2 linked regions of the Ovis aries genome follow. The protein of the gene in region 1 interacts with the protein of each later gene in a biochemical or structural test. Links are inferred from orthologs where the notes say so. Each region holds a gene or a part of one and is shown in the gene's direction. Other genes may lie near its edges. The genes, in order: RALBP1 and synaptojanin-2-binding protein.

Region 1 (4,531 bases):
AGAGGCAACCAACAAATATGTTCCATAACCACACAGTAATTGCACTGGCTCACTTAGCTAGCTTCACATACTCAAAGCACTTCAAATGAGCTATACAAACCATGGCTTCTGAAGCTGAAGCCAGTCTGCCTAGTGCCAGCTCCTGGTTCCTCTCCCCCTGTTCCCCAACCCCCCACATTTTTTAGCCTTTCATTGCTGCTGCAAAAATGCCTCTTTTTAAAACTATTTACTTATGGCTGTGCTGGGTCTTCGTTGCTGTGTGTGCTTCCTCTAGTTGCAGCAAGCGGAGACTAGTCTTCCCTGAGGTTCACAGGCTTCTCATTGCATTGGCTTCTCTTGTTGCTGCAAAGCACAGGCTCTGGGCATACAGGTGTAGTTCTGGTGCATGGGGTTGCCCCGAGGCATGTGGGATCTTTCCCAACCAGGGATTGAAACTGTGTCCCCTGCATTAGCAGGCGGGTTCTTAGCCACTGGACTACCAGTGAAATTGAGAAAGGTCATATTCTTTGTGAATAACATAACCATCAATAAGATGCTACCTTTCCTCCCTTTTGTGTGTCCATGTAGCAACTTCCAACAACGATTCAATAGCCAATATGGTCAGTGCCCATCCCTTGGCCCAATCAATGTTGCCAGAGGCAGAGTACTGTAATTGGAAAGATAAAATGCCCATCCCAGTGGACAGAGGACACCGTTCTGTTGCCAGAAGAGCAGTAAGAAAGCTTTTCAAAAAGTCAGAATACAATGGCTACCGCAGACCATCTTGGTCTGTTGTGGGCCCGTTGTGGGTCCTTCCTGGGCGTCAAGCCAAGGGGGCTGAACTTTTGAGTGGGAAATGCAGGGTACAAGGGAGGGATCTACCGTCAGACTTGAGGCGGGCTGATTTGGAACAGGATACGGTGGATCACAGAGGTCAGTCTAAATACGTAATGAAGTTGTAGGAAGAGGTGCACAGGCAGGAATGGAGGTGATAGGGAAGGGCCATCTATCCCCAGTCTTGGGGCTTCCCCGGTGGCTCACATGGTAAAGAATCTGCCTGCAATGCGGGAGACCGGGGTTGGATCCCCGGGTCGGGAAGACCCCCTGGAGAAAGGAATTGACAACCCACTCCAGCATTCTTCCCTGGGGAATTCGATGGACAGGAGACATCCCCCAAGTCAACTGCCAAACTTTATAAGACAAGAACATTTGCAGGACAATTCTTGAAGCCTTTGTGAAGGGTTTCTGGAGGAAATGCAGTTATTTCCGTCTTCCTTCAGATCCAGTTCTGTGTGCACGCCTGCCGTGCGAAGGGCAGCTCTGACTCAAGAGCTCCTCGGTACAAGGTGCAAGGATCTAGAGAGGCTCTCGTCTACCCCCGTTTAAGGAACGCTGAGGCCAAGGCCGACACGAAATTCTAGCAGGTTCCTCTTTAGAAGCCCGGGGCGGTTCCTTTGTCCAAATCCCCAGCAAAAGTCCCCACCCCAAGCCAGACTCCCCACCCAGCCCGGGATGAGCCCCACCCCGCGGCTGCTGGGCTGGCCATCGGGCCGGTTTAACTGGTTGGGACTGAAACCCGCGGTGAAGACGGTCTGCGCCTCGGGAGCTAGGGAACAGGCTATGCGGAGCGTGGACAGGACAACTGCCCTTCTCCGGTGTTCGGCCGACTCTGCCCGCAGCAGTCCTCCCGGAGCCCGCGCTGAAGAGGTACCCGACCACCCGGTCCCAGACCACCGAGAACTGCGCAGGCGCCGGCGGAGCTCTGGCGCGACGCGTTCTCTCGCGCGCTCCCGGGTCTCCCCCGCGGGCCCCTGGGCCCGGCAGGCGTGATGCTTCCTGGATGTTGTAGTGCGCCTCCAGCGGAGGGCCGCATGAGGACTGGGCACTAGGTTTCCGAAGACTACTATTCCCAGCGTGCCCCGCGCGGGGGGTCACGGGACACTTGCCCTCACGGCCCCGGCCGTCTGCGCTGGGAGGAGGAGCCGGGAAGCTGGCGGCGGCGGGTGGAGGGAGTGCGCATGCGCGGTGGGCCGGCTCGCCCGGTTCTGTCCCAATCATTGTAAACAGGCGGAGGCTGGGGCGGGGTGGGAATGGGGAGACCGAGGCCGGCCGGGGGCGCAGCGCAGGAAGCGGCCGCGGCGGCAGCGGCGTGAGAGCAAGGAGGTGGCGGCTGCGGCGCTGGCGGTCGCGCGGCGGCGGCGGCGCAGGTCAGTGGCGGGCGGCGGTCGCGTCGGGGCCCGGTGCCTGCAGCCGTCCGCGCGCCTCCCCGCGGCGTCTGTCAGGCAGCGGGCCGGGCTCTCGCGGCCGGGCGGCGAGGCGGGGGCGTGGCTGCCGGGGCGGCGGGGCCGGGCGCTGGTCGGCGGCTCCGGCCCGCGCAGCCCATTCCTCCGCTCGCCGGCCGGGGCTCTTGGGTCCGGGCGAGGAGGGTGGAAGCCGGGCCCTTCCCCGGGGCGCGGGCCTCGGATGGCGGAGAGGGACTCGGGGTTTTACGTAACCGCGGCCAGGATGCTGGAGGGTCTCCGGTGCGCGCCCGGCGCGGAGGGAGGCTGGTGGACGCGGGGGTGCTCCACGGGCGCCGACAAGTCCGAGCTGGGAATTCTTATCAGAACTCCTCGTCAGGTGGGCTTGTGCCCACAGGCTCTTATGGAGGTCAACTGTGGGGTGGCTTTCGGGTTTTGTTTCTTGTTTTAAACGTTGTGAGAGTGAAACAGGTTTCCCCGAGTACCCCACACCCGAGCCTCCCTTAGTTCCTCACGCCCCTCGGGTTTGGGAGTCGTGACTCCAGAGCCTCCCCGCTGAGCAAGCAGAGCATCTTCTCCTAAGGCCTGGTTGAGTGCTCGAAGGTGATCAAGTGTTAACCTGAGCAGTTTTGACGGTGCGGGTGAAAGTGCTGTGGTTCGGATGCCGCGTTCACGTGGACGCGCCGGGTCAGGAGCCGGTCACCGCGGGTTGTGCGCCTGGAGCGGGCGGGTCTCCGCCCTGCGGCCCCGGTGGTGGTGCAGGTGCTCGGCGGAGAAGCGCTCACGTTCTCCGGAAGCCGCCGGCCACAGGCGGTTCGCTGGTCACGGAGTCTTGTCTGGAAATGAGAAAGGTAATCCATTTTCCGCCTTCCGAATTAGCTTGGCCACTTGGTCCTTTCTGAGTGTCTTCCTGAGGACGAGTTAATTGCTGTCAGCTGTTTCGGCAGATGGTGCCGGCAGGAAGGAAGTTAGTTAGCAGAGGGGCTTCCACTTTTCAGAGTGACCCATAAAAGGAAGCGAGGTGGGCTAGCTAAACAGGAGCCGATGGGAAGTAATTTTTTAAACAGTATCTTGAAGCTGCGAGAGATAATTTATTATCTCTTTAAAATAGTATTGCTCCTTTTAGGTCTTCTAGGGACCATTTCTCCCTTGATTTAGAAAAATAGAAGTGATATCAGAAAGTGCATAATAACTTTAATTATGGTGTTTCCTTTACAAAGAGAGATTGGGCCCAAAATATAACCCAAAAGTATGTTCTTTCTTTTTTGGAAGAAAATCTCCAATAGAAGCTTTTGTTAGTATATGTAGAGGAAATAAGTAAAAGTGCAGGTCATTTAGTTTAATTTCTGTGTAGCAGGTACTGTGAAGACTTACAGATGGATAAGGTAGTGCCCCTGCCTTCAGGATGCTAAGACTATCTCTTACTTGAACTTCCATGAAGACTGTGTTTTTGAGATTGCTTTGACTGAAGGAAGGCCAGGGGCACGGTGGGTATACAAGGGAGGTAGTGGTCAGTTTTAAAGGGGCAGGGAGGAGAGTGTGGAAGGGGGCAGTGGTAGGGAAAACTATGGGAAGGGCTGAGAACAGTGAGGAGACAGGCTCAGACAGGATGGGCATTTCGGTAGGAGGATCTGTTTGAGAAAAGCCAGGAGTCCAAACTTACAGAGTGAGTGTGGGATCTGCAGGTATGGCCCATAAGGGTGGTGGGTGGTGGCAAGCTGTGAAACCCAGGAGGTAGGCAGAGGCCAAATTAGGAAGTTTTGTAGACAGGTGAAATAATTTCAGCTTTATCTTGAAGCAGACAGGAGTCACTGAGACAGGATAAAGAGGCCTAAGCCTCTCTCATAGGGACTAGAGTTACAGAGTTACATTGTAACTCTTCCCTGTGTGTCAGGCCTTGTATTAGGTGTTTTAGACTTGATGTCCTTAAACTTGAAGAAGGCTTTGGCATGAAGGAGGCAGAAATTGCAGGAGAAGAGGCTAAGGCCAAGGGAAAGTTGAACCAGAGGACTGTGAGGGTGGAAAGTCGTTCTCTGCAGCTGTAGCATTGGGCTTATGGGATCAGGTGAGGCTGCACAGATCGGTCCCCATGCCATCCTAAGGGTTCTCGAGGGCTTTTTCTCTTGGTAATAATAGAGCATATGGATTTTAACCAGGCAAGAGTCATAAGCTTTTCATTTTAGGAAAATCACTCTGGTCTCATACAGATGTCAGAAGGGATGGAGGGAGGACAAGGCAGGATGTAGGAGGACGGTGAGCAGTTTTTGTAATATTTGAGGTGACAGATAAGGGCCTAAACTAAGGTAGGGTCA
Region 2 (3,146 bases), on another chromosome or scaffold:
GTTCGGTCCCTGGGTCGGGAAGATCCCCTGGAGTAGGAAATGGCAACCCACTCCAGCATTCTTGCCTGAAAAATTCCATGGACAAGAGGAGCCTATAGTGGGCTCTACAAAGTGGGCTCTACAGTCCATGGCATCGCTCAGACACGACTGAGCACACACACACGCTCCACTCAAATACAAATTGTCTTATTCTAAAGGAAAGAAGCCCTAAATGGAGAAGAAATAAGATCTCCAGTTGTTACATGGAGTGACTTACCTACTGCATGAGATGTTGATTCCTTGCTCCACCCGCTAAGAGCTGGGACAGCCAGAGAAGCTTCAGGGAATTTTAAGGGGAAGATCCTCAGGACGAGTGGTCCGGGCAGCTGCTAGGGCCTTACCCCCAAAATCCCCCAACCAGAGCTGGCTGGCCATGAGCAGCAAGACTGGCTGCTCATACTGCTTTGCCATATAATAGGTCAATAAATCAAGTGACAAGTTGTTGGGGTAAGGAATGGCAGCCTGAGAAGATGGCAGACTTGTGTCCTTATGAACCATCTTCCTTGAGTTAGAATCCAGGCTTCTTTTAACACTGAAAGAGGAGGGAGTAAGGCCCTGGTTCTGGCCAGACTCCAGGAGGGATTTCCTCCTGCCTTCAGTCTTTCACAGATGGGCCTGGTCAGGAAGATGCTTCCTCGTGAGCTAAACGAAGGTATTTTAGCTTAGTGTTCATTACCTGGGTGACAAGTGTCCCAGAGATGGTCCATTATGGGTAATTTAAGCTTAGAGGCAACATCCCGTTAGTGATTAACTTGTAGAAGAACACAAAGGTTCTTCTCCCTCTTATAGTCACACAAGTAGATTGGCAACGACGCCTGAGACTTACAGTCAGCTTTATTGATCATGGACACCTGTGTTCGTTTTACAGGCCACAGAACCGTTTCACATTCACCATTTTGGGGTCTCCTTTCTCGTCCTGTAAGGTCCTTCATAACCTTACATTGAGGGTCCACACAGCTTTTCCATTTCCCCACACACCCTTGAAACCTCAGCTCCTCCTGGTAATGCCTTTTCATTGCTCATTTTAGACTTCAGTCGCCCAGAAAGAATCTCATTGGCACAGCTCACCTCCTTGCACATGGCTGATATGGGTACCGGCTCTAAAATCTGCACTGCTGCTCATTCCACAACCTCTGGACGAAGGCTGGGCCAAGGACTGTTGTGATAAATGCAGCTATTTATTCAAACATTAATAGGCACCGACAGGTTTCCCTGCACAGGGCCAGATGCTCTGGTTAGAGAGATGAATAAGCCATGGCCGAAAGTGCGGTGTTGTGGCTGCTGCCGGTAGTGCTTCTCACCTTCAACCTGCACCGATCCTCGCTGACCCCGGTCGGGAAGCCAGAGATTAAAATATGAACGGAAGAGTGGATTACTTGATTACCGAGGAAGAGATCAATCTCACCAGAGGACCGTCAGGGCTGGGCTTCAACATCGTCGGTGGGACAGATCAGCAGTATGTCTCCGACAACAGTGGCATCTTCGTCAGCCGCATCAAAGAGAACGGGGCTGCAGCCCTGGATGGGCGGCTCCAGGAGGGTGATAAGATCCTCTCGGTCAACGGCCAAGACCTAAAGAACCTGCTGCACCAGGATGCTGTGGACCCCTTCCGTAATGCAGGCTATGCTGTGTCCCTGAGAGTGCAGCACAGGTTACAGGTGCAGAATGGGCCCATAGGACCTCAAGGCGAAGGGGAGCCAAGTGGTATTCCCATAACTATGGTGCTGGTGCCAGTGTTTGCCCTCACCATGGTAGCAGCCTGGGCCTTCATGAGATACCGGCAACGACTTTGAAAAACTTGCTTTCTTCCTGTGCTCCCAAAGAAGAAGATACATTTCTCTTTTTCTCTCACCCTCTCCTGCCAGTCTTCCATAACTTTTCCCTCTACATAGCCAGCTCATGATTTCAAGAGACTGCTACCCAACCAGAATCTTGCTATTTGAAATCTCTGAATCCTCATTTTCTCATGGGAGAGTAAAGGCAGTGTCTGAAGGAAACCCGAAAGAAGGACTTGCCTAGAACAAACGAAGAGTTATATATTTTACTAGAACCGCCAATAGAAGTTCAGCTACAACCCAAAAAATGGGAAAGGTCCAGTCTTCCCATCACCCTGCAGTATTCCTTTTTTTCTTACCTGGCATGCATCAAAGGCCAGCTGTAATAAGAGGAAAAAAGGATTTTTCTCTTTAATGATCTTCCTTGGGAAGTTTTTGTGGCCTTTTATTTAATTTCTAACTATTAATACCTACTTGGGCACCTACTTTGTATCAAACAAAGATGATTGAGAAGAACATTTCTACTTTTTAAAACAAACATATATATATATATACACACACGCACACACACATATATATACGTACATATTCATGTATGATATTATAATAGTGATGCCTTATGGAGAATTAAAGAAGTGGAAAGCAACTCCGGTTTCTAGGTTTCTGCTATAAGGATTAAGTGATAGTCTTCAATAGAAGAATTCAGTATGTAGCAAGAGTAATAGAGTGAGGCTTAAAAGAGGATAGCAATCTGAGTCATTTAAAAAAACGAAAACTAAAGCAACTAATTAAGAATCTTAAAAAAAAAAAAAAAATAAGCCATGGCCCCAAGGAGGAGGAAGACACCTCACAGGTGACAAGCAGAAGCTGTGGGTAGGGTCCCGTGTCACTTAGCTTCTTCGCACTGCAAGAGTCAGATTCACGAGCGAGGTCTCCTGTAGGTTTTCACATAGACTGGGACAGCCCGGAAAACTGTCAGCACCCACGGCAGCCCAGGGACTGACCGCTGCTGCCTTTGCCCTGGGCTCCTCTCACGCCTGCTTTTTCTATCTCGTACGTCCTCTTCCTACTGTGTGGTCTCTGCTGTCCCGTGTCTTCCACCTCATCTCACCCCTAGTCTTGGCCCCACATCAGCCTTGACCTCTCTCCAGAGGCAGCCAATTCAGGCTTTGCTGCCTGATGCCATGAGGCTGTGGGTGCAGGCATAGAAAGGTGCTGGAATGGGCCAAAGATGCCCCCCTTTACCCAGGGTGGTGGGCATGGCCACACGACCAGTGCCATCCATCACTTACCAACCCAGCCCACCTCCTAGATATCTAGTTACCAGGACAC

Evidence for each region.
Region 2: the proteins of RALBP1 (region 1) and synaptojanin-2-binding protein form a complex in vitro, tested with the Homo sapiens proteins (2 studies listed by BioGRID and IntAct, with this or other methods). The link is inferred for Ovis aries from reciprocal best matches to the Homo sapiens genes RALBP1 and SYNJ2BP.

What each region holds. Positions count from the first base shown.
Region 1 is NC_056076.1:42,111,152-42,115,682, forward strand, and holds the start of RALBP1 (ralA-binding protein 1), read left to right. Parts: upstream 1-1,523; 5' UTR 1,524-1,686; intron 1,687-2,107; exon of another isoform or gene 2,108-2,186; intron 2,187-2,303; exon of another isoform or gene 2,304-3,070; intron 3,071-4,531. UniProt on the Homo sapiens protein: Multifunctional protein that functions as a downstream effector of RALA and RALB. As a GTPase-activating protein/GAP can inactivate CDC42 and RAC1 by stimulating their GTPase activity.
Region 2 is NC_056064.1:26,356,953-26,360,098, reverse strand, and holds synaptojanin-2-binding protein, read left to right. Parts: upstream 1-1,299; 5' UTR 1,300-1,394; coding exon 1,395-1,832; 3' UTR 1,833-2,460; downstream 2,461-3,146. UniProt on the Homo sapiens protein: Regulates endocytosis of activin type 2 receptor kinases through the Ral/RALBP1-dependent pathway and may be involved in suppression of activin-induced signal transduction.